Linked DNA regions of Stegostoma tigrinum. The main gene of each other region encodes a partner of the protein of the gene in region 3 in a complex. Links are inferred from orthologs where the notes say so. Each region holds a gene or a part of one and is shown on either strand. Other genes may lie near its edges. The genes, in order: cnot10, cnot9, CCR4-NOT transcription complex subunit 6 and cnot2.

What was found.
Region 1: CCR4-NOT transcription complex subunit 6 (region 3) and cnot10 share a complex: the UniProt entries of both Homo sapiens proteins name them as parts of the CCR4-NOT complex. The link is inferred for Stegostoma tigrinum from reciprocal best matches to the Homo sapiens genes CNOT6 and CNOT10.
Region 2: CCR4-NOT transcription complex subunit 6 (region 3) and cnot9 share a complex: the UniProt entries of both Homo sapiens proteins name them as parts of the CCR4-NOT complex. The link is inferred for Stegostoma tigrinum from reciprocal best matches to the Homo sapiens genes CNOT6 and CNOT9.
Region 4: CCR4-NOT transcription complex subunit 6 (region 3) and cnot2 share a complex: the UniProt entries of both Homo sapiens proteins name them as parts of the CCR4-NOT complex. The link is inferred for Stegostoma tigrinum from reciprocal best matches to the Homo sapiens genes CNOT6 and CNOT2.

What each region holds. Positions count from the first base shown.
Region 1 is NC_081358.1:37,183,689-37,191,291, reverse strand, and holds the start of cnot10 (CCR4-NOT transcription complex subunit 10), read left to right. Parts: upstream 1-4,585; 5' UTR 4,586-4,685; coding exon 4,686-4,725; intron 4,726-5,620; coding exon 5,621-5,718; intron 5,719-6,731; coding exon 6,732-6,893; intron 6,894-7,603. UniProt on the Homo sapiens protein: Component of the CCR4-NOT complex which is one of the major cellular mRNA deadenylases and is linked to various cellular processes including bulk mRNA degradation, miRNA-mediated repression, translational repression during translational initiation and general transcription regulation.
Region 2 is NC_081360.1:103,197,085-103,204,706, forward strand, and holds the start of cnot9 (CCR4-NOT transcription complex subunit 9), read right to left. Parts: upstream 3,004-7,622; 5' UTR 2,766-3,003; coding exon 2,742-2,765; intron 1-2,741. UniProt on the Homo sapiens protein: Component of the CCR4-NOT complex which is one of the major cellular mRNA deadenylases and is linked to various cellular processes including bulk mRNA degradation, miRNA-mediated repression, translational repression during translational initiation and general transcription regulation.
Region 3 is NC_081366.1:37,289,128-37,296,073, forward strand, and holds the start of CCR4-NOT transcription complex subunit 6, read left to right. Parts: upstream 1-3,940; 5' UTR 3,941-4,451; intron 4,452-4,461; exon of another isoform or gene 4,462-4,855; intron 4,856-6,946. UniProt on the Homo sapiens protein: Poly(A) nuclease with 3'-5' RNase activity.
Region 4 is NC_081371.1:45,261,051-45,268,398, reverse strand, and holds the start of cnot2 (CCR4-NOT transcription complex subunit 2), read left to right. Parts: upstream 1-4,345; 5' UTR 4,346-4,399; intron 4,400-7,348. UniProt on the Homo sapiens protein: Component of the CCR4-NOT complex which is one of the major cellular mRNA deadenylases and is linked to various cellular processes including bulk mRNA degradation, miRNA-mediated repression, translational repression during translational initiation and general transcription regulation.

The DNA.
Region 1 (7,603 bases), on a different chromosome or scaffold from region 3:
AGCAATGCAATTTATGAAGAAGCAAGGTGTATTATTCAAGCAGGATAGAGCAATCTTTTATTTCTAGGAAAGGGAATGAATTGATTTATAAGTGAGCTTTGTTATTCCAGTGGGATGCATACCTAAAGTGTTCTCTGGGCAGCGCAATTCATCCAATATAAATTTAAAAAAGCCATACCAACACAAGCACTGTAAATTCAGCAGAATTACAGGTCACAAAAGGTATACATGAACTGCAGACTTACAGGCCGAGCCAATGTCTGATGCTCAGAATTATTTGGAAATACAGGAACAGGAGTACACGCTGATGTTGGTGGTTGTAAATGCTCTTGAGGAAATTTTAAATCTAGGAAAGGAAAAACCATCCTCAGCACTAAGTCTTTCGTCCTCTATCTTCCTGAAGACACTGATCTACAAAGTTCGCCATGAGTGGCATCAGCATTCTGCTATTTAACACAAGGACCCCTTTTCAATACAACAGTAAGTAAATTCAATAGTTGATGAGAAAGGACATTAAGCTCAGAACCTCTTTTCCACTCAATCACTGGACTGAACTAAATTAGTTGGCAAGATTGCAATGGATTGTTTAGTCAGACTCAGGATGCTGAAGGAGCTGAGTCGGGAGGGGAGATAAAGGAGCAGTCTGGTAGTTTATCAGGAAGGTCGTCCCCTGAAGGCACTCAACTGACCGCTGCTTAAATAAACGGTACCTAGACACTGAGCAAAAGCAGGATGAGAATCACCTTTGTTAAGCCTCTGTCAAACCGACTGTTGCCAATTCTTGGCTAAGCTCATGCATGAATGCTGTTTGTACTGAGTAGCTAACAGCTGCTGCCTCACACTTTCTGGAAAGTATTAGCAGAAAACCAGGCATGGGTTTAAAGCTTTTCCTCCTCTCAAACATAAACCCACATAATTTAACGCATTCTCTGAAATTTAATGTGTCTTTTAAAAGTACAAGTCTACTTTACACAAGTAGATAAGAATTGGATGATGGTTTACATAGTGGGGACTCTGAGAGAATGTTGTTGTTATAACACTCACTTACCCCCACTCACTGACACCTCTAATCTAACTAATTGAGAGACTGAATATCTGAGCCTAAAAAGAAAGGGTTAGAGTGAGTGACATTGGAGAGAGGTCCAGAGGGTGTGACTGTTCGGGAGAAGAACTTTTTGGGGGGGGGAGAGAGAGAGACAGAGTGACTATTGGATAGAAACCCAGAAAGAAAGGGCGAGAGAGAATAATCAGTTGAGAGAAGTCCAGAGAGCAGAAACTAGTTGAGTGACCCAAAGAGAGAGAGAATGTAACATACAGACAGTGGTCTGGACAAAGTAAGCTCCCAGATAGTGAGAGACCTTCAGGGAAGGATCCGTGGGCAGAATCATAGAACTTTTCAGCACAGCAGAAGGCTTTTTGTGCACTGGCCCCTGAACAAGCTCGTCCCATTCTCCAGCCCTGTGTCCATAGCTCTCTGTATTCATCATGTTCAAATATATATTCAGCTCTCTTAAATATCCTATGGAATCCACCTCCATCCCAGGCACCGCATGCCAAATACCTCTGATGCTGCTTGGCCTGCTGTGTCCACCTAGCTCGACACCTTGTTATCTCACATGCCAAATCCAAACAAGTCTCTGAGTAAAGAAGTTTCTCCTCATCTTACGAGATAATAAAATGTGAGGCTGGATGAACACAGCAGGCCCAGCAGCATCTCAGGAGCACAAAAGCTGACGTTTCGGGCCTAGACCCTCCATCAGAGAGGGGAATGGGGTGAGGGTTCTGGAATAAAAAAAATTTCAGAACCCTCACCCCATCCCCCTCTCTGATGAAGGGTCTAGGCCCGAAACGTCAGCTTTTGTGCTCCTGAGATGCTGCTGGGCCTGCTGTGTTCATCCAGCCTCACATTTTATTATCTTGGATTCTCCAGCATCTGCAGTTCCCATTATCACTGATACAACTTCTCCTCATCTTACTCCTTGTCCTCTCGCTGACAATCTTGAAAATGTAACTCCTAGTTGCTGATACACTAAATGGTAGAAACAGAATACCTCCTTTACCCTGTCAAAATTGTTCTAAAATTTGAATACCTTGAAAGGGCAACACTTTGTCTTCTCTGCTGTAGGGAGAGTGAGTTCAATTTCTATGATCTTCTATCTAATTTCTGTCATTCCTAGTGTCATTTGCACTCTCTCCAGGGCTTTAATACCTTTCCTTAAATAAGGAGCCCGGAACTGAACACTATGTTCCAAATATGATCTGACAAATGATTTAATATGACCAATGACGTAGTATTACTTCCCTGCTTTTATGCTGTATACTGTATTTACACAGCTCACAGGTGCATAACAGCTGTCAACATCATTAAAGACACATTGCTCCCTGGTTATGACCTCCTAGAACCTCTTACATCAGGCAGAAGACACAGAAACCCAAACACATGCACAAGCTTCAGAAACAGCTTCTTTCCGGCCATTATCAGACTGATGAATGGACTCTGGACTCTAGCCTCAAATAACGCAACCTGCAATGAAACCTGTATGCCTCTAATTCTTTTTGATCTGCTTGCCTGGCCACTTTCAGAGAATTCTGCACTTGAATCCTGAGGTCCCTCTGCTCCTGTGCTCCCTTTAAAGTTGTATCATTCAGCCTGTAATGTCTTTCCAGGTTTCTTCTATCAAATGTGTTACTTCACATTTGTATGCATTGACATTCATCTGCCAGGCATTTGCCCAGGTTGCCAAATTGGCATTGTCTCCCTGATGTCACTCAACGTCATCTTTACAATTTGCAATTCTCTTAGCTTAGTATCCTCTGCAAATATAGAGACTTTGTCCTCAGCAACCATCTCAGCAGTCAATTATATCAATCAGAAAAGTCAAGAATCCCTACACTGATCCCTTGGAAACATCATTGACAACTTGTCTTTAGTCTGAGAAATACCCATCTATACTTACCCTCTGTTTTCTATCATTTAACATACAGAGTGGTCAAGAGAGAGAAAATAACTGATAGAAAGTCAATGATCCAGACAAAGTAAGCTATAAAGAGAATGGAGGAGCAAATTACTGCAGATGCTGAAATCTGTACTGAAAATAACAAATGTTGGAAATCACGGCGGGTCAGACAGCATCCATGGAGAGAGAACAAGCTATTGTTTTGAGTCTAGATGATTCTTCATCAGAGCCCTGATGAAGAGTCGTCTAGACTCCAAATGTTAGTTTGCTCTCTGTCCAAGGATGGTGTCTGGCCCACTGTGACCTCCAGCATTTGTTGTTTTCAGTAAGCCATACAGAGAGATTCACAGGAAAAGAATAAATCGTAATGAGAGACCAAGAATGACCCAGAGAATGACCGATACACTGACAGTCTATGTCACTGATCCTAACCCCTCCATGGTGTACCTCACTGTCCTCCCAACATGTAGCAGCTTTAATGTTTATATTTGCATTTATCTGCCCAATTGCGTGTAAGTACTCCTTTGTAACCTGTGGCACAGTGGCTCAGTGGTTAGCACTGCAGCCTCACAGCACCAGGAACCCTGGTTCAATTCCAGCCTTGGGTTACTATCTGTGTGGAGTTTGTACATTCTCTTTGTGTCTGCATGGGTTTTCTCCCACAGTCCAAAGATGTGCAGGCTAGGTGGATTGGCCATCCTAAATTACCCATAGTGTTTAGGGGGATGGATCTGGGTGGGATGCTCCAAAAGGTGGGGTGGAATTGTTAGGCCGAAGGGCCTGTTTCCACACTGTAGGGAATTTAATCTCTTAAAAAAAACCTGCATTGGAATTTGTGTTTTACATGTCTGCAGAGTTCAATTTATAATTGTTTCCTATATCCAGCTCATTCCTATGAAATGGAAATGGTATTGACCACCCTCTCTGCATTACTGTCAGGATAAGGATTTGAATACTTAGTACTGAGATGGAGGAAATCTTCATTCAAAGTTTGCAAATATTCCGTATTATCTATAAATTCATTCAGTACCTTGTTCAAACATATTCTCCACCCGTCATGGTCGTATTATTCGATGTTTCGTTTCTAAATTAATATTTCCTGTTTAATATTGTCCCACTTTCTACTGGAAATGTCCTCACCTTGCTTTTAACATAATTTATATGGACAATGAGGTATATAATTGAGATTTTATTTGTAATATTTTATAACTTCAATGCTCATTCCCTTTTCCACTACTAAACCCATTCATTAAACTGCTAGAGCAGATAAAGAGTATTATCTGTAATACTCTTTACGTTTTTTATCCAAGAATTGATGTGATGGATAGCTAATGGGTTCAATATTGTTAATGGACGGACTTGTTCTATTTTTTACATTTAAGCATATCAAATATCACCACAGGACCAGGTGCATTAATTGTATGTTCTATTTTTACAATGCATCCTATACGCGATGCAATATTTGATATTTCCTACAGTATAGCGTACAACATTATAATTCCATAGGATTTGGTATATTGCATATTATATTTCTTTAGGGTGTATTACACTGTAATGTAATGAATATACAAGATGCACCAAGGATAGCCTCTTACAGGAAGTGACGCTCATTAGATGCGCCTGGATGACTGATTTCCGGCGGGGCCTTGGGTACACGGTACTACACCTTACCCGGCTCTGGGGCTTGGGCTCCTTCCCCGTCCTGGGGAGGGGGGGCGGAAGAAGTGAATGGGAATCATGTCAGATCCTTCTGCGGCGAGTAATGGAGGTGAGGGGTCTAGGGTCGGTAAGGAAGTTGTGTGTGTGTGTTTGTGCGCGTGTGCGTGTGCGCACACGTACGGGGACGGACACTTGTGAATTGTGAAGGTGGTGAATCAATTCCAGTCTAGAATCTGAAATATATTTGTTTAGCCACAAAGCAGTTGGAGTCTCAACCTGTCTGTCTCGAAGGATGGTAGATCACACAATCTCACAAGACTTTAAAAGTATTTTCATGTTCATTTGCTGGAACCAAAGAGGATTATGGACTAAGTGCTGCAAGGTGGGTTAAGCTGGGTAACTGTATTTGTACTAAATGGCCTCATTCTGTGCCATAAGACAGATAGTGCTGTCCTGACTGCTCAGTGACAGAGTAAGCATGTTTAAAAAAAACTGTTGAGGTAGTTAAAAATTTTTAACTGAAGTGATGTTTTCTGTAAAATATGCTGAAATGCATAAATTACAACTATGTAATTTTCAATGCCAGCTAAAACTCTTCACTGAAATGCTCAAGCTGATTATACCCCTGTTGTTGTCACCATCCATTTCAATTTCTTTCAAAACATTTATTCATTACCCCTCTAAATGAGTTGTTTTGATTTTGGTTTGTAGTTACATTCTCTGGGTTTTGTAGAATGAGAGGTGATCTCATTGAAGCAGATAAAATTCTGACAGGGTATGGGCTGACAGACTGTTTCTCCCTGGCTAGGTGGTGAAAATGTAATCCCATGATAAGGAGTTTATGAATGAGATGAAAAATTCCTTCACTTTTGCAGAAGCTCAAGACTGATTTTAGCTAAGTTTTTATTGGTTCAGAAGAAACTGCAGATTTTTAGAATGTGAGGAAAGAAATTGTAATATGAGAAACAGATATGCTAAATAAATGTCTTTGTTTTGTTTTGTAGATCAGAATACTGATGTGAAAACAGAGAGTAATTCTCTTTCTTCAGGGGTTGCTGACCATGTCAAGGAGCTTGCAAACAATGCTTATCAGGCTTACACTGTAAGTATTACATTATAAAGAGTTACCATGAAATCAAGTTTCATGGGCCAAGACAATTGCAATATTTCTTTTCTATTAATTCCGTTGATTGAATTTCATGGCCAGTTAATTTTTGTTCCAGGCTTTTGAGTTGTTACGATTAGCATAGTCTTCCACGCTGTTCGTGTCAATAGAAAAAGACACTTCCATAAACAGCTGTGTGTCTTCTATAATCTGAAACTTAATGCCTGAAGTGTGATATGCAAGGGAATAACATGGTACTGTTATTCTCTACACCACTGAATAGGAAATGAATTGAGCTCCTTTTTCTGAAACTTAACACAGGTAGCAGCAGTTAGATTTATTTCCATGTAAATAACACCGAATTAAATGATCATAAGTAATGATATTTGCACATATTGTACTATATCATAAAGTTGTTCTTCAGGATTTTTTGACCAAATGATCATAATGTAACATTTTCAGCAGTTTCCTGTTGTTTGCTGTTATTGTTACAATGTGATAATGGGTCAAGAACAAGACAGTACACGCATGCGCATGTACACATGCTGTCATCCAATTTTGAGTCCTGGTAAGAAGAAAAAAAATTGGTGGTTCTTGTAGTGTCTGTAGTGTCCTCATCTGCTGAGTCAGGACACCTGGGTTCAAGTCTGCTCTAAGAGGTGTGTGATAACATCTGTGACACATTGAGTCAAAATTTCTAAAATGGTAATTGTTGAAGTTAGCTTGTTTTCTATTTCAATAGAACGGAGTATGGGAATTTACAGTTTGAGGTATGACAGAAATTTCCAGCTGTTATCAGGATGACAGGATTCAATGTGCTCGCTCCTTGTTTACCGAGTGCACCAGTCGGTCTATTTCATTTGTTTCCCCTCCCCTAACAGCATCTTACATACTGTGATTTATTAAAACTGCATCAGTGTTTATTTGGATGTATGAACTATGAAGTTCCAGAAAATTGTTTGCTGCAAACAGCGGTTGATTTTATATACATTTTCTTAATTTTGCCGTAGTCCGGACAGTTTGACGCTTGTCTGCAATATCTGGGTCATCTGCAAGAGCTGAACAAAGATGATTACAAAATATCTCTGAATAAAGCGGTGGCAGAGTTCTACAAAAATGGACAGACTTTGACAGATACCTTAAGGCAGACTCTCAACCTGTTGAAAAATCAGGTAAAACTGATAAACCGTAAATGTTTTAAGAGATACCAAGGTGTCGAATTGTTTGAACGCAGCAGGCCAAGCAGCATCAGAGGAGCAGGAAGGCTGACGTTTTGGGCCTAGACCCTTCTTCAGGTCTAGGCTCGAAACGTCAGCCATCCTGGTCTTCTGATGCTGCTAGGCCTGCTGTGTTCACGCAGCTCTGCACCTTGATATCTCAGATTCTCCGGCATCTGCAGTTCCTACTATCTCTGAAACAATGTTGTTTTAACTCTGTGTATTCTGTATGAGATGTTAGTAAAGAATGTCCTTTGAGACAGCCTCCCCAAAAAGGCCTTTTTGTTTTAAAACAACATCTCAATGCATGATTTAATGGGGTACTACAGTATAACAACTGCAGCCATAATTGCTGAATCACATCTGGTACCTTGCATCAATTATTACTTTTCATCCAGCATCAAATGGTTTTTGCCATTTCCTAATTCATACACTTAATAATTTTAAACTCTTCACCACGTGGTTAATTTTCCCCTGTCAGTTGATGTCATCTGTGTACTCGACCATTTAAAATTGCAAAATTGTAACAGAATTAGGCTAGACGTAGCAATGTATAGAGCTGGATGAACACATCAGGCCAAGCAGCAACAAAGGAGCAGGCTGCTTGACCTGCAGTGTTCATCCAGCTCTACACCTTGTCATCTCACATTCTGCAGTTCCCGCTT
Region 2 (7,622 bases), on a different chromosome or scaffold from region 3:
TGGCTCAGTGTTTAGCACTGCTGCCTCACAGTGCACAGACACATGGGTTTGATTCAGGCAACTGAGTAGAGTTTGCACATTCTTCTTGTGTCTGTAATAAGTGTAGAGTTGGAGGAACACAGCAGGCCAGGCAGCATCAGAGGAGCAGGAAAGCTGACGTTTCAGGTCAGGACCCTTCTTCAGAAATGGCTTCATAGTGGGGTTATAACTCACTCAGAGATACTAAGAATTACTGATGCAAGAGCCTGAGGTGACATGGCACGGGGACTCTTCTTCAGAAAATCCCAACCCGAAACACCCGCTTTCCTGCTCCGCTAATGCTGCCTGGCCTGTTGTGTTCCTCCAGCTCCCCACCGTGTTCTCTCATTCTCCAGTATCAGCAGTTGTTACTATCTCCCCCATGTCTGCATTGGGTTTCCTCTGGGTACTGCAGTTTCCTCTCAGTCCAAAGATGTGCAGATTAGGGTGGACTGGCTGTGCTAAATTGCACGCACTGTCCAGAGGTGTGCAGGCCTAGGTGGTTCCACTAGTCGGGGGGGGGGGGAAGAGAAGAGAATGCGGGGGTAGTGGGCGGGGGGGGGGGAGGGGAGTGAGAATGCGGGGGTAGTGGGGGGAGGAGAGAAGAGGAGAATGCCGGGGGGGGGGGGGGAATTGGGTGGAAGAGGAGAATGCCGGGGGGGGGGGGGTGGGTGGGTGGGGAAAATGGGTGGAAGAGGAGAATGCCGGGGGGGGTGGGTGGGTGGGGGGGTAAATGGGTGGAAGAGGAGAATGCCGGGGGGGGGGAATGGGTGGAAGAGGAGAATGCCGGGGGGGGGGGGGGGGAAATGGGTGGAAGAGGAGAATGCCGGGGGGAGGGGAAAATGCCGGGGGGGGGGTGGGGGGGGAATGGGTGGAAGAGGAGAATGCCGGGGGGGGGGGGGAATGGGTGGAAGAGGAGAATGCCGGGGGGGGGGGTGGGGTGGGTGGGGGGGGAAATGGGTGGAAGAGGAGAATGCCGGGGGGGGGGTGGGGGAGGAGAATGCCGGGGGGGGGGGGGGGGGGAGAGGAGAATGCCGGGGGGGGGGGGGTGGGTGGGGGAGGAGAATGCCGGGGGGGGGGGGGTGGGTGGGGGAGGAGAATGCCGGGGGGGGGGGGGGGGGTGGGGGAGGAGAATGCCGGGAGGGGAATGGGTGGAAGAGGAGAATGCCGGGGGGGGTGGGTGGGGGGGGAAATGGGTGGAAGAGGAGAATGCCGGGGGGGGGTGAATGGGTGGAAGAGGAGAATGCCGGGGGGGGGGGGGTGGGGGAGGAGAATGCCGGGGGGGGGGGGGGTGGGGGAGGAGAATGCCGGGGGGGGGGGGGGTGGGTGGGTGGGGGGGGGGGGAAATGGGTGGAAGAGGAGAATGCCGGGCGGGGAAATGGGTGGAAGAGGAGAATGCCGGGGGGGGGTGGGTGGAAGAGGAGAATGCCGGGGGGTGGGGGGAGAATGGGTGGAAGAGGAGAATGCCGGGGGGGGGGGGGGGGAGGAGAATGCCGGGGGGGGGGGAAAGAGAAGAATGCCGGGGGGGGGGGGAGAAGAGAAGAATGCCGGGGGGGGGGGGGGGAAAGAGAAGAATGCCGGGGGGGGGGGGGGGAAAGAGAAGAATGCCGGGGGGGGGGGGTGGAGGGGGGGGGAGAAGAATGCCGGGGGGGGGGGAGGGGGGGGAGAAGAATGCCGGGGGGGGGGAGGGGGGGGGAGAAGAATGCCGGGGGGGGGAGAAGAATGCCGGGGGGGGGGGGGAGGAGAGAAGAATGCCGGGGGGGGGGGGGGAGGAGAGAAGAATGCCGGGGGGGGGGGGGGGAGAGAAATGCCGGGGGGGGGGGGGGAGAGAGAGAAGAATGCCGGGGGGGGGGGGGGGGAGAGAGAAGAATGCCGGGGGGGGGGGGGGGGAGAGAGAAGAATGCCGGGGGGGGGGGGGAGAGAAGAATGCCGGGGGGGGGGGGAGAAGAATGCCGGGGGGGGGGGGGGGGGGAGAGAAGAATGCCGGGGGGGGGGGGGGGAGAGAAGAATGCCGGGGGGGGGGGGGAGAGAAGAATGCCGGGGGGGGGGGGGGAGAGAAGAATGCCGGGGGGGGGGGAGAGAGAAGAATGCCGGGGGGGGGGGGGGGGAGAGAGAAGAATGCCGGGGGGGGGGGGGGAGAGAAGAATGCCGGGGGGGGGGGGAGAGAAGAATGCCGGGGGGGGGGGAGAGAGAAGAATGCCGGGGGGGGGGGGGGAGAAGAATGCCGGGGGGGGGGGGAGAGAAGAATGCCGGGGGGGGGGGGGGGAGAGAAGAATGCCGGGGGGGGGGGGGGGGAGAGAAGAATGCCGGGGGGGGGGGGGGGGAGAGAAGAATGCCGGGGGGGGGGGGGGAGAGAAGAATGCCGGGGGGGGGGGGGAGAGAAGAATGAGAACGTGAGGACTAGTCTCTCCTCGATGGGCAGAGTGGCCTGCTTGCACACTGTAGAAATTCTAGGGTTGTCTGATCATAGCTCCACTTCCCCGCCCGCCTCCCTGGTGACCACAAAATCCGACAGGCTCGGCCTCAAGCCCCACCGAGGCCTCAGGCGGTCCCCGGGCAGGCTCCCTGCAGCCTCCCCCGCCGCCCGAGTGCGGGTAAACTCGGCGAGTCCCTGCCCGGGCCTCCCGCAGCGAGGGCGTCGCTGTCTCCCCCATCCCTGGCCTAAACCGGGGGGGGGGCGCGGGGAAGAGGCCCCCACCTCGCCCATCCCCACCGGGACTTACCGCCCCTGCCCCCAGGCTGTGCATCTTCCCCCGCCGCCGCCGCCGCCCCTTCTTCGGGTAAAAACTTCACATCAACGAGCCCGAGGCTCCCGGCTCCTGTGTCCGGTGAACCCTGACCTCTGACCCTTGGTCACCGCTTCTACCCAAAACACGTCTTTTATTTTGAAAAGGAATTTACATCAGGAGAATCATTCAAACCCTTCGCAATCCGACTCTCTTGTGTAGAATAATCTCCAGTTTCACCTCGCACCATTCCGCGGAATTATAGGTTTGAACGCATTTCCGCTCTTCACCTTTGCCCTTTCACCCCGTGACCGCGGCATTGAAACACAAGTTGATAATTATCCTTGTTTATTTCGTACGAATTGTGCCCGAAGCGCGCTTCAGACGATTAGGGTATTTTTTTTAAAAAGAAAATGATAGACTTTGCGGGTGTGTTTCCTCAGGCTGCGCGCTGCTTGCTGGGAGGCTGCCTTCGCGCCATTTTGAGCGGCGGTTGGGGTGAAGAACATTTTAATGTTTTTATTCGAGGCGGTGATGGGGTTTGGGGAGAGTCGGTTGTTTTAGAGCGGGGCGGGTGTTCGGCGGACGGACCGTACCGGACAGGATCGGGGAGAAGAGGAGCGCTCTGTGCCTGAGAGCACTCCACGCCCCGGGGCATTGTGGGAGCGGCAGTCCCGCCATCTCGCGGCGGCGGCGGCGGCGGCGGGAGCGGAGCGCGAGGCGCCGTCTCTATGGGAACGGCCCGAGAGGTACCGTAACCCCACCCGCGGGAGTGTGTCTGTGTCTGTGTACCGCACCCCCCCCCCCCCCCCGGGGCGTGGGGTAGGGAGGGACAGGCAGAGGGGACCAGACCTTCCCCCCCGCCCCGGGGGTAGGGAGGGACAGGCAGAGGGGACCAGACCTTCCCCCGCCCCGGGGGTAGGGAGGGACAGGCAGAGGGGACCAGACCTCCCCCCGCCCCGGGGGTAGGGAGGGACAGGCAGAGGGGACCAGACCTTCTCCCCCCCCCCGCCCCGGGGGTAGGGAGGGACAGGCAGAGGGGACCAGACCTCCCCCCGCCCCGGGGGTAGGGAGGGACAGGCAGAGGGGACCAGACCTCCCCCCGCCCCGGGGGTAGGGAGGGACAGGCAGAGGGGACCAGACCTTCCCCCCCCCCCCCCGCCCCGGGGGTAGGGAGGGACAGGCAGAGGGGACCAGACCTCTCCCCGCCCCGGGGGTAGGGAGGGACAGGCAGAGGGGACCAGACCTCCCCCCGCCCCGGGGGTAGGGAGGGACAGGCAGAGGGGACCAGACCTCTCCCCGCCCCGGGGGTAGGGAGGGACAGGCAGAGGGGACCAGACCTCTCCCCGCCCCGGGGGTAGGGAGGGACAGGCAGAGGGGACCAGACCTCCCCCCGCCCCGGGGGTAGGGAGGGACAGGCAGAGGGGACCAGACCTTCTCCCCCCCCCCCCCGCCCCGGGGGTAGGGAGGGACAGGCAGAGGGGACCAGACCTCTCCCCGCCCCGGGGGTAGGGAGGGACAGGCAGAGGGGACCAGACCTCCCCCCGCCCCGGGGGTAGGGAGGGACAGGCAGAGGGGACCAGACCTCTCCCCGCCCCGGGGGTAGGGAGGGACAGGCAGAGGGGACCAGACCTTCCCCCCCCCGACCCCCCCCCCGCCCCGGGGGTAGGGAGGGACAGGCAGAGGGGACCAGACCTCCCCCCGCCCCGGGGGTAGGGAGGGACAGGCAGAGGGGACCAGACCTCCCCCCGCCCCGGGGGTAGGGAGGGACAGGCAGAGGGGACCAGACCTCCCCCCGCCCCGGGGGTAGGGAGGGACAGGCAGAGGGGACCAGACCTCCCCCCGCCCCGGGGGTAGGGAGGGACAGGCAGAGGGGACCAGACCTCTCCCCCCGCCCCGCCCCGCCCCGCCCCGGCGGTAGGGAGGGACAGGCAGAGGGGACCAGACCCCTAGGGGGAAGTGGGTGTGGAGACAGAGGGTGCAGTCCCCTGCGGGAGAGACAGAGAGTACCTCACCCTTTGGGGGTTGTCGGGGGGGAGGAGAGAGGGTGAACACTGTACCCCACGGTGGGGAGACAGACCAAGTAATGTGCCTGGGGCTATGGGGGGGAGAGGCAGAGGGCACTGCACCTGTGGGGAGCTGAGAGTAGGGAGTACTGCACCCCCAGGAAAGGAGTGGGGCGTGCTACTGCATCCTGAGGGGAGAGTCGGGGAAAGGACTGTATCGTGGTGGCGGTGAAGAGAGTCTTGGGCACTGCACTCAAGGATGAAGCCAGAGTGAGCGGGCAGAAATACCTGTGTCTGGGCAAGGGGGTAGGCACTGAGAGAGGCGGACTGCATTTCAAGGATGGGGCCAGAGAGATGGAGCTTAACTGTATCTGTAGGAGGCGGCGGGTTGGGGGACAGAGAGAGAGCACAAGACCGAAGTTGTGGAACAGGAAGAACTGTTGTGGTGTGTGTGTGTGTGTGTGTGTGTGTGTGTGTGTGTGTGTGTGTGTGTGTGTGTGTGTGTGTGTGTGTGTGAGAGAGAGAAGGATTCATGACTTTTGAAGCAAAGACCAGGATCATTACCTGAAGAGAGAAATTTGCAAGATTGCGGAAAGGCTCCCAGGTGGAACTCAGTGAATGATTCTTTTACTGTTGAAGAATCACTGGAGTTGAAGTGTTAACTCTGCTGCTTCTCACAGAATTTGCCAAACTGCAGTCTCTGTTTCTGTTTTTTTTTTAAAAGAGCCACTGCTGTTTCCAGTATAGTAACCATTCTCTAATTCTGTCCTGCCTAAAGCCTATCTTGTTCCACCATACCTAACCCTCCCATCCTTAACACCGTTTCCACAAATGTCAAATTCCATTCCCAAAAGACTCCTCGTACCCCAACATTGAAACCAGTTTTGGAAATGTGTAGAGATCACAGGACTGGGTATGATGCCCTTTCTAAGGGACCAGAATGCAAATTGACCTCCAGTGTGTCTGTGCAGTTACTATGTTTACCGTTTGTCCTCCCAACACCTTGTCCACCATCTAAAAGGCGCGAGTTAAAAATGTGATGGAATACTCGCCACTTGCCTGGTTGATAATATTTAAGAAACCTGACACCATTCAGGGCAAACAGCCTGATTTTTTTTTAAACTTTCATTTCTGTATATTCTTTGACAATCTCAGGATATGCTTTTAGCTCCTAATGAGAGTGTCTTTGGAACAGCTGCTGTTGTAATGTACACCTTTGTAATTAATTGAGTGTTCCAAAACTTTGCTGTTTTCCTATTTCCTACTGTCTGTATTGTTGAGGGTTTCGAAAACTTAGTGGTTTATGTTGCATACAGTAACTTCCAGAGTTGATAAGGGGGAGCCATTTGTTCAGTCTTACTCAGAGTTTGAAGCTTATAGCTTCCAAGTTATGCACCAGGAGTGCTCATGATGGTTTTGTGATCAGATGTTTGACTGATGAACTGTATAGCTGATTGGTCAGATGTAAAAGTTTTCATGGCCGTACTTTGAATGCAAGCTTCAGGGTTTGGTTAATTTTAAAGCAAAATCATGAACTTGGCTGATGCCTCTGAACATTTGTGCACATGTCTGTCTGTTCCTGTGTGACCTCCCCTTCAAATTTGTCATTTAGTCAATCTTTCTTCCTACCAACACACTTAATTTTTCGTGTATTTCAGTGTCTCATCAGTGTCCTCCTGAAGTCTCTGGTTACACTTCTCATTAGTTACGATGTTTGCAAATTATTTGTGAATTGTAGACCAAAGTTGGAGTACTTTTTAGAAGAAGAATTTAAGCCATTAAAATATATCAGAGAGAACAGCGGTCCAAATGCAGATTCAGTTGAGCTGGTCAAGAATTAGACCAAGTCATTTCTGGATTCCAGAATTTTCATAATTGTGACATGATGTCAGAATATCTAAACAGAACTGTGTGAACAGGAAATCATTCGGAAATAAAGACTTATCTGAAACATAAAACAGTGTTATAGCTTTAAGCAGTTTTAAAGCAAAGTTAAATTATGTAAGTACTGTTTCTTCAATGTTTCTGCTTCCTAAACATTGCACTGAAATAATACTCCAGTCTACTCAAAAAAGTCTAGAAAACTGGTGTTTCTAAATGATAATTTGTACAGAGGGGTGGACATGTGTTTGTTCTGTTCTGGATTATGATTCCCACAAACAAAAGTAGGCTGACTGATTTCTACTGAAGGTTTTGACTTCTTTAAATAGGAATGTAATGTTTGGGTCGTTAACACACCAATATCTAACGAAGGATCGGAAGATCATGGGCAGAGCCTCTTAATTTTAGCCCTTCTCGCATGAATCCGGGATGAATCCCATCTAGAATCTTTCAGCATCCGTTTCTCTGCACAAGTGACTCCAGTCTCTTAAGTTGTTTTGCCGTCGCTGCTTTAAATCTGCTGTTATTACCCCATTCGATAAAACCAACCTTTGACTCTAGTTTCCACAGATTGAAGGGACAGATATACAGCCCAGAAACAGACTATTTAGTCAAACTTGTCCACATCGACCAGATATCCTAAATTAATCTAGTCTTGTTTGGCCCATATCCCTCTAAACTCTTCCTATTCATATACCTCTTCAGATGCATTTTAGATGTTGCAATTGTACCAGCCTCCACTCCTTCCTCTGGCAGCTCATTCTGCATATGTACCACCCTCTGTGTGAAAATGTTGCCCCTTAGGTCCTTTTCAAATCTTTCCGTTCTCACCTTAAACCTATTCCCTCTAGTTTTCAATTCCCCCACCCAGGGGAAAAGGCCTTGTCCATTTACACTATCCACACTCCTCCTCTCGGTCTTCGATGGTCCAGGGAAAATAGTCCCAGCCTATTCAGTCTCTCTCGATAACTCAAACCCTCCAACCCTGGCA
Region 3 (6,946 bases):
GGCTGGGATATCGGAGCAGGGACTTTAGCAGTCAGTGTCTTCGTAGCTCATGAGGTTTGGAACATAGCAGCAGCTGGAAGCCTAGATGAGGGTTTTGACGGTTGGAAATTGAGCCTGAAGCAGGAAAATGAGTCCAATGCAGCAATAAGAGATGTCCCCTGGCATCTGCAGTAGTGGCGAGAGGAGGCAGCCCAAGATCTCCCGGAGAGATGGCCAAAGTGGAGGAGATTGAGCCCTTGTATGGAGTGCGAGCTCAGCATGGCTAAGCACTTAAGATTGTTGAACTTTTAGCTATTTCTTTACTTTTCTTTACTTTTTACTTTACAGTTTTCAGACCCGTAGCTCGGGATGGATCTGCTGGCATTGGGAGGAGGTCCACAAGATGATCCCAGGAATGAAAAGCTTGTCATGTGCAAAGTGGTTGAGGACTCTGAGGAATGAAGAAGGATCTCATTAAATACTGAGAAGCCTGGATAGAGTGGATGTGGAGATTATTCCACTAGTAGCAGGGAACAGGATCTGAGGGTCCAGCACCAGAGTGAAGGGACAACCCTTTAGAATAGATATGAGGAGAAGTTTCATCAGCCAGTGGGTGAATCTGTGGAACTCTTTACCACAGAAAGCGGTGGAGTTCAAATCATTGAATGGCTTACAGAGAGAGATGGATAGATTCTTGATGCACAAGGGGGTCAAGGATTAGGGGAGAAGGCAGGTGGATGGGCTTCAGAATCATTTCAACCATGATTGAACGGTGGAGCAAACTCAATGTTCGAATGGCCTAATTCTGCTCTTACATCTTATGGTCACTTCTGACCTAATGTTGATGGGACGGTCATTGATACAAGAAGCTGAAGGTGTTTGGGCCTAAAACAATAACAAATTATGGCTGTTGTAATGCAGTGGTAGTGTTTCTATCTCTGAGACAGAAGGCAAGTTCAAGTCGCACCTGCTCCAGAGATGTGTAGTAACAGCTCTGAACAGACTGGTTAGAACAGACTGATCTGTGATTTATTTGATTGACCTTTAACAATGACATCTTAGTTTGTGTTTGATATGTCTCCAACCAATGGAGTTCCGCCCATTGATTCCCATTGACATTAGTTTTCCTAAAGGCCCTTGATTCCAGGCATGGTCAAATGCTGTTTTGATACTAACAGCAAATACTTTCACCTTACACCTTCTTTTTATAAGTTCTGTACAAGATCAGACTAAAGCTGTATTGAGTTTGGGTTCTAGCAGGGACACTCAACCCCTGGCCTGAGTGGAAAACTTCCCCAAATAGCAGTGGAGGCTAGGTAATTGAATAGATTCAAATCTCAGTTACACAGTTTGTTTATTATCAAAGGAGGTAAAAGTTAAGGATGGTGGTGGGGATCAGGCTGAAAAATTGAGTTAAGACCAAATTAGATCAGCCATGATGACCCCAAACAGTGGATAGTTTTCTCCTGATTCCACTGATGCCAGTTTTGCTCAGTATGTCAGAAACTTTACTGCAGAATAATTTGCAAGTGAGCAAAACATTTTCCAGGACACAATGAAGATTGGCCACAGATTTCACAAACTTGTGGGCAACTTTGCTCAAGGCAGTCTAATGGAGTGGGAATTCAGTAATATTGTTGACCTGAAGTGTTAGTGGTTTCTCTCTCAATCGGTTTCACTTGACCAGTTGAGCATTTTCAGTAAATTCTCTATGATTTTAAAAGCGGTGAGAATAGGATTTACATTCTAAAAGGATGTCCCTGGGAAGTGAGAGATAATAGGAACTGCAGATGCTGGAGAATCCGAGATAACAAGGTGTAGAGCTGGATGAACACTGCAGGCCAAGCAGCATCATAGGATCAGGAAGGCTGACGTTTCAGGCCTAGACCCTTCATCAGAAATGGGGGAGGGGAAGAGGGTTCTGAAATAAATAGGGAGAGAGGGGGAGGCAGATATAAGATGGGTAGAGGAGAAGATAGATGAAATGGAGACGAGACAAGTCAAAGATGGAGCCAGTAAAAGTGAGTGTAAGTGGGGAGGTAAGGAGGAGATAGGTCAATCCAGGGAGGACGGACAGGTCAAGGGAGCAGGATGAAGTTAGTAGGTAGGAAATGGTGCTGTGGCTTGAGGTGGGAGGAGGGGATAAGTGAGAGGAAGAACAGTTCAGGGAGGCGGGGATGAGCTGGGCTGGTTTTGGGATGCAGTAGTGGGAGGGGAGATTTTGAAGCTTGTGAAATCCACATTGATACCATTGGGCTGCAGGGTTCCCAAACATCATCCTCCCTAACCCTATCGCATCCTCCGACACCTCTGCCATCTGCAATCTGACCCAGCCACCAAAGATATTTTCCCCTCCCCACCCTTGGCTGCTTTCCGGAGGGACCACTCTCTCTGTGACTCCCCTGTCTGCTCCACACTCCCCTCCAGCCCCACCACACCTGGCACTTTTCCCTGAAACTGCAGGAAGTGCTACACCTGCCCTACACCTCCCCCCTCACCCCCATCTAGGCCCCAAGAAGACTTTCCACATCAAGGAGATGCACATCTGCTAATGTGGTACACTGCATCCGCTGTACCCATTGTGGCCTCCTCTTTATGGGGAAACCAAGCTTGGGGACTGCTTTGCAGAACAACTACACTTGGTTCGCAATAAACAACTGCACCTCCCAGTTGTGAACCATTTCAACTCCCCCTCCTATTCCTCAGACAACATGTCCATCCTGGGCCTCTTGCAGTGCCACAACGATGCCACCCAATGGTTGCAGGAACAGCAACTCATATTCCACTTGGGAACCCTGAAGCCCAATGGTATCAATCTCCACTCCCCCTACCACATCCCAAAACCAGCCCAGCTTGTCCCCGCCTCCCTAACCTGTTCTTCCTCTCACCTATCTCCTCCTCCCACCTCAAGCCACACACCCATTTCCTACCTAGTAACCTCATCCCGCCCCCTTGACCTGTCCGTCCTCCCTGGACTGATCTATCTCCTCCCTAACTTCCCACTTACACCCACCTTTACTGGCTCCATCGCTGCCTCTTTGACCTGTCTGTCTCCTCTCCACCTATCTTGTCCTCTATCCATCTTCTGTCTGCCTAGCCCTCCCTATTTATCTCAGAACCCCTTCCCCTCCTCCATTTCTGAAGAAGGGTCTAGGCCCAAAACGTCAACCTTCCTGATCTGATGATGCTGCGTTCATCCAGCTCTACACCTTGTTGTCCCTGGGAAGTGAGAGTTGAGGTGCAACAGGAGTCCACAAATGACATAGATAGGATGGTGCTGGAGTAGTGATCACAGTCAATGGTGAAGTTAGAAAATGATAAACTTGATGAAAGAGGCAGCAGGATTTCTCGCACAGGTTGTAAGGAGGGCAAGGTGTTAATTGAGTGGGGCAGCATGTAACAAATAAGAAAAGCTGGGACTTATTAAGAATAAACAAAGCAGCGTGTAAAGTGAAAGATGGAAAGGGTAAACATGGGATTAGGAAGGTGGTGGATGCTTGGCTGAAGTTCAGGTATTAGTAAAATTGAAAACCTATTGAAGGGAAACGACTGAACCGTCAATATCATTCCACGTCCAGTTAGCTGGTGGGGATCTAGCGCAATGCCTGGAAGTGCGACCTAATTCGAGTTACAAGATGTTAAATTAGCTCTAACAAGTTACAAGCAATAAAAACGGATCAAATATTCCTTTAAAGTCGGCACTCATTGATAGTTTTAAGCGGAGTGAAAATTACATGTTAACCCTCATCCGTTGTTGAACTTCCATTGGGCTAGTAACTTGCCATGCGGCTCCTAATTGCTTCCTTTGACGAAACTCAAGAAACAAGGTAAACGACAAACCTACGCTCGATATAATTAAGCCAATCAAATTTACGGGTATTTCCCCACCCCGCCCAAGACGGCGCTTTCAAAACAAATAAGTTCCACACAAGGAGGGGGAGAAGCAGAGGTAGTTTGTAAAATTTAAGAACATGACCTGCCGAGTGCGTATAGCTATCCAGCGGACATGCACGCCTTAATATGGACAAATCGATTTTGCTCGGTCAAAAGAGATGATTAGGGCCTTCGGCCGTCCTCACCGTTGCAGTCTCTGTAGTTTGAACGGGAATCGGCGCGCAGCGGGACATTCCGGCCAGAAGGCTCGCGCTGTCCTCAACAGCCGCAACACGCACCCCTTCCGGCGCGAGCCGCTCGTTCCGACTCTGTTTGTTTTGCTTCACGCGAGGCCGAGTGGTACGGTCCACGCTGTAGCCAATCAGCGAGCCGCAAAGGAGGGGAAAACTCTCCGGGAAATAATGGAAAGCGGGCGCCATGATGATTGTTTGCTTTTAGAACGGGTTCGCTGGGTTTGTAGGCGAAGGGAAGAAAGGTCTAGAACTTTTGTTATGTGTTCGCAGGTATAAAAATGTTTTCTCACTTCAAACCTCACGGTTTAAGGTTTCACTTTACCTGAGCAAAGCAGGGAATTAAAGGTATTTATTTGTAACGTTCTGAACCTTGCGAGGTTTTTTAGTATTTAAATTTAGAACTTCCAGCTCAAGTTTTTTTAAAAAAAGACTTAGCTAATTTGTTTGACTTTGTCGGCTTCGTTCGTTTTATTTGAGTCACCTCTTTGCCCTAAAAGTCATTTGAGTCTCGGTTGAACGGAAAACTAAGTCGCTTCTTTTATGTAGTCAATGCGAGGCCTACACGTTAGTAGTAGGGGGAGCTTTTATTTGAACGACGGAGCGACCTAGCTTTGTGGCGGAAGTGTGCGTGTGTGGTTTGATTGACAACTGAACGCGCCACTCAAACACAAACCGTTCACCAATGTGGCGCACGGCGGGTTTTTATCGACCAATGGATGCAGTGTAGGGGCGGGACATCCGTGATGAAGGTAGGTTGATTTTTAGAACGTAGTTCTTTGCGCCCCAGTATGATAATGGTAAATACTAGTGATGTGTGATTTGGGGGCGCTTAATTAGTGTACAAATTACTACAGGGTACACGCACTCATTTTGTATACTATAACGTTTCACCAGTTCGGTTGGTAAGTGAATATAGGTACAGCATCTGGAAAACAAAGTATTGAACTACTACTTCCCCTAAATGTACTAGTTTTGAAATCACAATTCAGGTATATCCACTTCACCGCCACTTTTTTGCCGTTACCTATTTTCGGGTGGCCTGAACAATCGCTGAAGTTTTTGAAACTACGTGTTTAGATCATAGACATGAACTTGGAATAAAATTCGTTGCTAAAGTGGATGACGAGGACAAAACACTATTATGCTTTTAATTGCAATTCTAGCGATAACGTCGATTGCAAAAACCCCAGTAACTTTTCCACGTGATGCTGCTGCGATTGAATGTCCTTTTTAAGGCACCCTGTAGAGTTGGGGGTGGGGGTGCGGTGAGAAAGAAACAGGTGAAAACAACTTCGGCATTAAGGATATAGGAAGTATTTTCCCTGAAGAAATGTAAAATGTAGGGACTGCTCTTCCGTCACTACTTATTTTCTAATTCTTCTGTGTTGCCTTAGCATTTAGGTAAAATGCTTTCAAGTTATAACTGGAATCATAGGATTTAACAGCAAGTTGGCTGTACAGACATGGCGCTTGTGCCAGCTCTCATATTCCAAATCCCTCTTGTATATGCACCCTTAAACACTTTTTGCTATGTCTTTCTGACGGCCTTCATTGTGCCTAATGATTAGGAATTTCTTGCCATCGGTTTGTCTGATCTGACTGCTTGCGTCCTGTATTTTAAGAATCTTCATTCTTTTAGTTAATGTTCATCTACTTTTATTAAGACTGGTTTTACGTACCTAATTCCACAGTCCTGTTCAACTTTGAACAGAAAGCTGATGGTTGAAAATACAGTGCAGCAATTGCTTGGGGGGGAAAAAAATCCAACTGCATATGTATAGGAAATAAGTGTTAGGTTTGACTAAATCCTTTTTTGAATACAAATATTGTGCATTTTTCATGTGGGTATCACCAGTAAGGCCAACATTTGTCACCCATCTCTGCATGTTGGTGGCATGAAGGTGCTTTTGACCATCTGCTGAAATGACTATTGCCAGTACACACAACTTTTCGTAGGAAAGGAGTTCCAGGACTTAGTTCCATGCTTGTGAAGGAGCTGTGATTGTGGTCGTAAGTCAGATGTCTGTTTGACTTAGAGGAACTTCCAGCCGGCAGCATTCCCATGCACCCATTGCCCTTGCCCTTGCCCTTCCAGGTGTTAGGGGTAGTGGATTGGGAAGGTACTGTTGGAGGCTTGAGTTGCTGTTGCCTATTCTCTACAACATGATGCTGTCACTTTACATTTGTTGTGAAGAGGTCTTGCTTAAATGGACAATTGTTTTAAATATAACTTCTCAATGCTGTTGAGCATCATGAATGGTGCTATCCATTCAGGCAATCGAGAGTTCTGTCAACATCCTGTCTGGTGCCTTTACAGATGGTAGACAAACTTGAATTCCCAGCCTTGGATTTCCTCTTGTAGCCATAATTTTAAGATTGGTTGTCCACTTCAGTTTCTGGACACAGATCACCACTAGGAGGATGTTAGTGAGGATTCAGCAATAGTGATACCATTCATAGACAAGACATAGTCATTGTTTGATACTTGAGTAGAGTGAATGTTAGTTGCTGCTTAAACACAAACCTGAATGTTGTTCAGATTGTGCTACATATTTACACAGATGTATTCAGTGTTGAATGAGTTTGAAATGGTGAGTATTGGACTCACCAATCATGTCCAGTTCTAACCTTCTAATGGAAGCATCGAAGTTGCTGCAGTTAATTAGGCCTGGAGGAACTCTTACAGCAGCTTACTGGAACTGAGATGATTGACATCCAGCATGCCTTACCATCTTGCTTTTGTGCAAGATGTGACTCGAACTAGTAGACACTTTCCCATCAATTCAGTGATATTAACTTTTTACTTTTGGCCAGGGTGCCTCGAGTTTGTTTTTAAACTA
Region 4 (7,348 bases), on a different chromosome or scaffold from region 3:
CACATGATGAGATGAACAGCAAGGAACTGTGCCAGATAACCACTAGAGCTCAGAGAGAAACCCTCTACAAAAATCCCTCAGTGATACTTAGCCAATGTTTGGTTAAATTCATCCGTTTGATTCTCCTTTTCAAAGAAACTTATTTTACCTTCTGAATTGAATTCTGGGCTTTTCTAGACGAAAAGTTTGATCATTCTGTTCTGAAGTCAAAACTAAACTAAATTACCTTAACTTGCTTCCTCTGCCTGTCATAAACCTAAGAGCGTAAATACTTTATCAATTAATACCACGGGTGTTTGTCAGGCATTTGCTGAAGTTGTAGACCTTCTTCAAAATGATGCAGTTAATCACTGTTAAAAGCCGCCTATTTCACCTTTTAAGAAAAACAATCCTTAACAGAACTGACCCACAGCCATCTGCCTAAATTTTCAAATCCAAACTTCAAAAATGTAATATATAATACAGCTTTCCTCATACATTCCGCAAAAGTGAAAATGCAAAGGTATCCTTAAGAGGCAATAGCATCTTTTTCAAACATAACGTTGCTCTTAACACCATTTCTGTGGTACATCATCTGTAACAATTTATTTATAATGAATACGCACCAATATTCCTAATAACCATATTCTACGCAAGTTCATTTTGATCATGACATTGTTTCATTCATATTTGCTCTAGAAAAGCACCTGCTATAATATTGAATGATTTCTAAAATTATACGGTTGTAGTATTAAACTGTAATGAAACAGTCTTAAATTCTCATCTGAAAACTCTCCAAACATCTGAAGACAGGCCATTGTATAAATAATAGTCTCTTCAAAGTTATTAAACAAGTGAATTTCGAACTTTTGCAGAGTCAAAAGACATTTCTCTATTATCAATTATTTCTGCTGATAATTACTCAATTTCTCAAAATAACTGACTGGTTATTTCACCTCCATTTTGTCCTCCTTTTGGTAAAATAGCACTTACCAGCAATAAAATTGGCATTAACAGCCAGAGCTTGTCATTGTGGTGCCCCCTGTCTTCCTGCTACCCTATCTATGCTCCTCATAATTTTAAACATCTCAACATGTCCACTCCCCCTACACCACCTCTCTAAGTAAAACAACCCTAGCCTATCCAATCTCCCTTCATTAAAAAACCCAGTCCAGGCAACATCTTGGTAAATCTCCTGTGCATCTGCTCCAGCGCAATCATATCCATCCTCTAATGTGGATATCAGACCTGCACACAATACTCTAGCTGTGGCCTATTCAACATTTTGTACAGTCCCAGAATCACCTCCCAGGTCCTTAAATCTATGCATTGGCTAATAAAGGCAAGTATCCCAAATGATTTCTTAACTTCTTTATCTCCCTGTTCCACTACGCTGAGAGGCTGCAGGCTCTGCACACTAAAGTCCCACTGATTGTCAGTGCTTCTGTCCCAATGATCATCAAGTACATCACCACACACTTATCTGGATTGAATTCACTTTCCACTGATCACCCCCTCCGACCAGCCTATCCACATCCTCCTGTAATCTATGGCTATCCTCCTCACTATTTACTAACCCAACAATTTTTGTATTAGCCAAGAAAGTACTGATCAACTCTGGTACCTTCAGGTCTAAACCATTTATAGGTACCATAAATAGCAAGGGCTCAAACACTGATCCCTACAGGACCCAACTGGACACAGACTCCCAGTCACAAAAATAGCTCTTAACCATCACTATCTGCTTCCTGTCACTCAGCCAATTCTGTACCCAATTTGCCAAATTTCCTTGGATCCCACAGGCTCTCACATTTGCTATTAGTCTCCCACACTGGACATTATCAAAAGCTTTGCTGTTAAGCAGACTACATCAAATGCACGGACCTCACCTACACATCTGGAGACCACTTTGAAATATTCAATTAGTCAGACCTGACCACCCCTTAATAAAACCTTGCTGACTATTTGATTAATCCCTGCTTTAAAAAAAAGAAAACAAAAGGAAGATTTAGAACAGAATATTACAGCACTGATTTTGCACTGGCTGTTTCAAATGGCTTCAGCGATAGAAGGAACTGCAGATGCTGGAGAATCTGAGATAACAAGGTGGAGAGCTGGATGAACATGGCAGGCTAAGCAGCATCAGAGAAGCAGGAAGGGTGACGTTTTGGGCCTAGACCCTTCTTCAGGAATGATTTCTGAAGAAGGGTTTAGGCCCAAAACGTCAGCCTTCCTACTCCTCTGATGCTGCTTGGCCCACTGTGTTCATCCAGCTCTACACCATGTTGTTTCAAATGGCTAACTAATTTCATTCCACACTCCTTCTGATGCTGAAAATTAATCCTCTTCCAAGCGTAAATCCAATTGCCATTTAAAGTTCCTGTGGAGTCTGCTTTCAGCATTCATGGTTTTGCAGACTATTAGGGAATGCACGTGAAAAAAAAAGGCCATTGAGATACTTGTGGACAACCAACACCAAATTAGGTTGCTAGACTTACTTTATTGGATCTCTCATAATTCTGAATATCATATCAGGTTTCCTTTAATTTTGCCTGGTCTAAGGATAAAAATGTCAGTTTCTGCAATTGCTCCAAATAACTGTAGTCCCTCAACTCTGTTACCATCTTCATCAATCTCCTTGCAGCCCCTCCGACGACTGGAAATCTTTCTAAAATGTAACGTCCAGAACAACGCACAAAAGCTGCAGCTTAGGCTAAAGATTTGTAAATGTTACATGATTTCCTTGATGTTGCATGTTTATGTATTTAATGGCACTAATTAAAATGTCAGGCTGGTGTTGCAACATGAGCATCTCTTATGGAACAGTGATAATGCCCCTACTTCTGAGCCAGGAGGTCCAGGTTCAAGTCCCATCTGCTCCAGATGTGTGTGATATCACCTCTGAACAGGTTTGTTAGAAAATACCTACAATCTAAGTCATTGTACTATCATGTAAAAGAAACCAGATTGGGAAGTTAAAATCTTATTATTTTTGTAATCAGATTTTGGGTTAGCAGGCTATTCTAATTTTGTTCTTGGCCTTTTAACACTTACTTGAAACTCAAGTTTCAATTACAGTTTTGCAGTCATTGTCTATATCTATAATTCGATGGATATTTGCAAGTACCTAAATTTACTATTATTTGGATCTGATAATAAATAGTACTAGAGGCAGAAGCTGCTCATCTGTGCATCAATTATTGATATTTCACTCAAGCTGGCTGGTCTTTGCAGCATACTGCATGTATGGAATTGTACAAATTGTACAAAATGATAGATTTAATTTTGGTTAATATTGAAGCTTATTCAAATTAATCATTTATAATTGGCTACTTGCTAAATACACTTTATTGTGACAGTATCATACAGTATCTCCACGTTAAAGTGACTGTTAGCTTTACATCCGTCATTGTCAATATCATTTTCAAAATTGATACAAAAACTTCCAAAATAGTAGGCAACTGTTATCATATGAAATAAAAATAGATGTTAAGATATTCTACAGATATTTTAAGTGGCAAACAATGACAGGCAATACAATATAGGTTTATTTAAGACCCTGGTTATGTTAAATATTATACTTACAATTCATGAAATCATCACAATTCCTCCATTACTGCTTTGTTTCTAGATGCAGCTCCCTGTGACATGATATTAATTAAATCAAGAATCAAAATAAGATTGCAGTTGGACAATAGATAAATGATCTCACCAATATAAATAAATTTCAAAGATTAACACCAATGCAGTTACACAAGCCTGACAGATGCAATTACTAAAAGATGCAAAAGAATTTCTATGCTGAGAAATTTGGAGGAAACCCCTTCTTAAAATTTAAAATTTCTACATTTTATACAAAGTATAAAAAGAGTTTCACCAAAAGGCAAATTTACTGCATAAAGACGACAGGGAGAAACCGATTGCTTCCCCCCTCACTCGTATTTTGTCTCGGTTAAAAGTTCTACGCCATTCACATATTATTTGGAACTGGCGAAAATAGTGCAAGACAGAAATAGGGTGAAATATACACATGGTTGATTTATCAATCCCAGCTACATTCATCATCAGCTCCAGGCCACACACAACTCTCTCCGTGTGAGTGTCTCTCTCAGCACGGTGTCGGGATTTTGAGGCTTTTTCTGGGGTCAAAACAAAATCTCAAGAGGAGCGAAAGATGCGTTAAAATAAAATAAACAACGAAGGCTTCAAACTAAACTGGAAAGAAAGCGAAAGCAGAACCCGATAATAAGAAATAGAAACGCTGCTTCCTTTACTCGCCTCCACCTGTTTATTTTCTGTTGTCATCCTTTCGCCTGCTTCCAGGGGAGGGGGGTAAAGGTCATAGGGTAAAGGGCAGCACCCAGCATCCCCGGTGCAATACACAGCCATCTTGGAGTTATTTTAGGAGATAATTCATGCGGTAAGTTTTAACGTTTTCTTTCTTTATTTCTCGCTCGGAGCCGCTAGAGCTCCGTCCCTTTGGCGTCGGCGACAACTTTTTCGATGAAAATGTTGCCGAGCGCGGTGGCGGGGAGTGCGGGCTGATCTAATGGGGCTTGGGCGGCTGCTGTGCCTTTTTTTTGTCTGGGCTCTGACTGAGTCTCCCTCTCCACTGCACCCCCCCCCCCTCTCTCTCTCTCTGGTTTAATCGAGTATCATTAAAAAAAAGCGGACAGGCCAACCCAAGCAGCGAGGAGCCGGGGAGCAGAGTAAGATCCCGACCCTTGCACGAACACATACACCTCAGGCACTGGGCCTTGCATCCGACTTTCGCCCTCCTCTTCACACTTTACATCATCATCCTCATCATCTTCATCGGGATACATTTTACACTACGAGACCCGAGCTGTGTGCCTGGCGTTTCCGCAGTTATAACTACAAATCCCCCATTGCTTCTTTGCTCAATTTCAGAAATTTGGTATAGTCGCGATATATCCGATCCTGGTTCAGTGCATTGCATTTTTTTAAGCCGTCAGCAAATGTTTACTTGTTTTCCTTTTGGATGCAACTTGTCTATTTTAAGTTGTTGGTGGAAGTTGTATTTATATTTTGTTTCAAACATAGTTTTGTTCCATGCTGACACCATTGTTTGCAGAAAGTTCCTTGAGTCCTCACAATATGAGACATGGCGATCATTTCAGAATTGTGTTGCACAGCTAAGGGAAAATGATTTTTTTTGTATAAAAATGTAGCTGGTGATTTGGATCTTGTAAGTGATGATAGCCACTGAAACAACAGCACGTCACAAACATCTCGCTTTTAAACAATTTATGATGGAAAGGGCTGAACATCTGGCTTTGTTGTTCAATTTTGTTATTCCAAATAATTTTTTGCTGTTATTAGTTTTTCCTGTTTGTAATGACTTTGGAAATATTAAATTGGACAAATATTGAATCAGACCAGATTATCACACTGGGAATCTAGCTTTCTAAATCTACGAGATTTTAAGTTCTCCAATTTTTTTTAAAGTTTATACAGTTACTTACCTTATTTTTCTAGATTATCAGAATTTTTCGAGGGATATGGATTGACACTTACAAATATAAATTGGATGTCAAACTATGTTTTTAACTACTTTTAGCATAGCGTAAATCCTTGGTTTAAAGAAGGAAGGGATAGATTTGTCTTTTTTAAATGATGAACAACTTGAAATAAACTTCAAATAAGATCTGAGATAGCAAGGTGTAGAGCTGGATGAACACAGCAGGCCAAGCAGCATCAGAGGAGCAGGAAAGCCGACGTTTTGGGTCGAGACCCATCTTCAGAAATAAGATCTTACAGCTTTGCAGATATGTTAACAGTTACAAATTTTAAATAAGCATTAATGGTATCAAGGCAGTGGTTATAGACTTGGTGGTGTATGTCTATGTGATTTAAAATTGTAGTATTTGTGCATCAGCAGCACTGATGCTAACTTCTGTTGCTGATTTTGCCAAAACAAATAGAACTTCTATAATTTCCATATTCACCTTTATGCTCAAGTATTTTGATAGCGCTGGACAATGTGGTATTTTCTTAATCAGAAAGAACATTTTCAAAGTTGTATGGATGCATATACTATCTGTAATCCAAAAAATTGTAATATTGATACAGTAAGTAGACATTTCCATATTAGAGCTGCAGTACTGTGGGACTGTTGGGTGGATGTTTTGCCATCTATTTTCTATTTCACAGTTTTGAGACTACCAGTTGTGTGAGCATGCTTGCCTACTTGTCCTTACCTTTATATAGCTTTTACTTGTTTATTGGGGGCACTGCTACAACAATAATTGCATTTTTATGGCTGAAGCGTTTCAGTTAAGTGTTTTAATGTTCTTAGTCTTGTTTTTCTCCTCTCCAGAAAATGTGAGGTTGCCCAAAACTAGTGAACTGTTGCTAATGGCTCATTGAATCAGCTGAAGAAATGCCACCCTGTTGACCACTGGTTGTCAGTAGGATTTCAGCAAAGCTGTACAGATTATGGATTTGTGAGCGTGTTGAATTTTGCGCATGTAATTTGGAAAACACCCAGCGCAACTGTTAGGTTTTGTCCTTTCAAGTGTGGGTTACATCTGGAGAGAACAAATTGAGATTGTCCAATTGGATCTGCACCACTGTTAGAGTTTAGAAAGGTCGATTACTGGTGGCGGTGATGCTGAGACAGATTTTTAGTGAGTGATTAAGGATATTGCATTTTGTTTTAAAAGGGTATTATCACAAGTATTTTTCCTGAATTATATTGCTGATGCATTAGATAATGAAGCCCTAAAGGTTATTGAAGCTTTCAGCAAAATGTTAGACAAGTTGACAGAGTATTCTGTGATCCTGAATCAGGGAGAAAACAAATAATTTGATCTTTAACAAATGACCAGAGGAAAAATTCTTTGATTCTGCAAGATTCCTAACCACTTCATTGGAATGATTGAGACATGTGATGTGAAGAGGCTACATTGAGAACCACTTACTCCTGTTTCATTGAATAGAATTGAAGAATGGAATACATTCTCAATGACTTTGGTGTTATGTTAAAGGATATACTATTGGCATAGAGCAGAGTTTGTTAACAGACTAATGCATAGTATGCTTGATTTTTAAAAATCAAAAATTTTGATTGCTTCCATAGTAATAATTCATTTGAGAATAACTGGTAAGATGTTTTATTTTTTCACTGTGACACTTTGTTTTAAAGCGCAGAATGGCATCTTCATCCTTATTCTTGCTCAAATATTGTAGACCAACCCAAAGCCCTACCAGTTTTTCATGACTTAAGATGTACTTTCGTGGCAAGTGATTGACTTGGAATCACTAGAATCTGAATTAACCAACTTCACTTCTCCTTGGAAAGGTTTGAATAAGCATTCATATAATGTTGCAGATGTAGTTGACATAT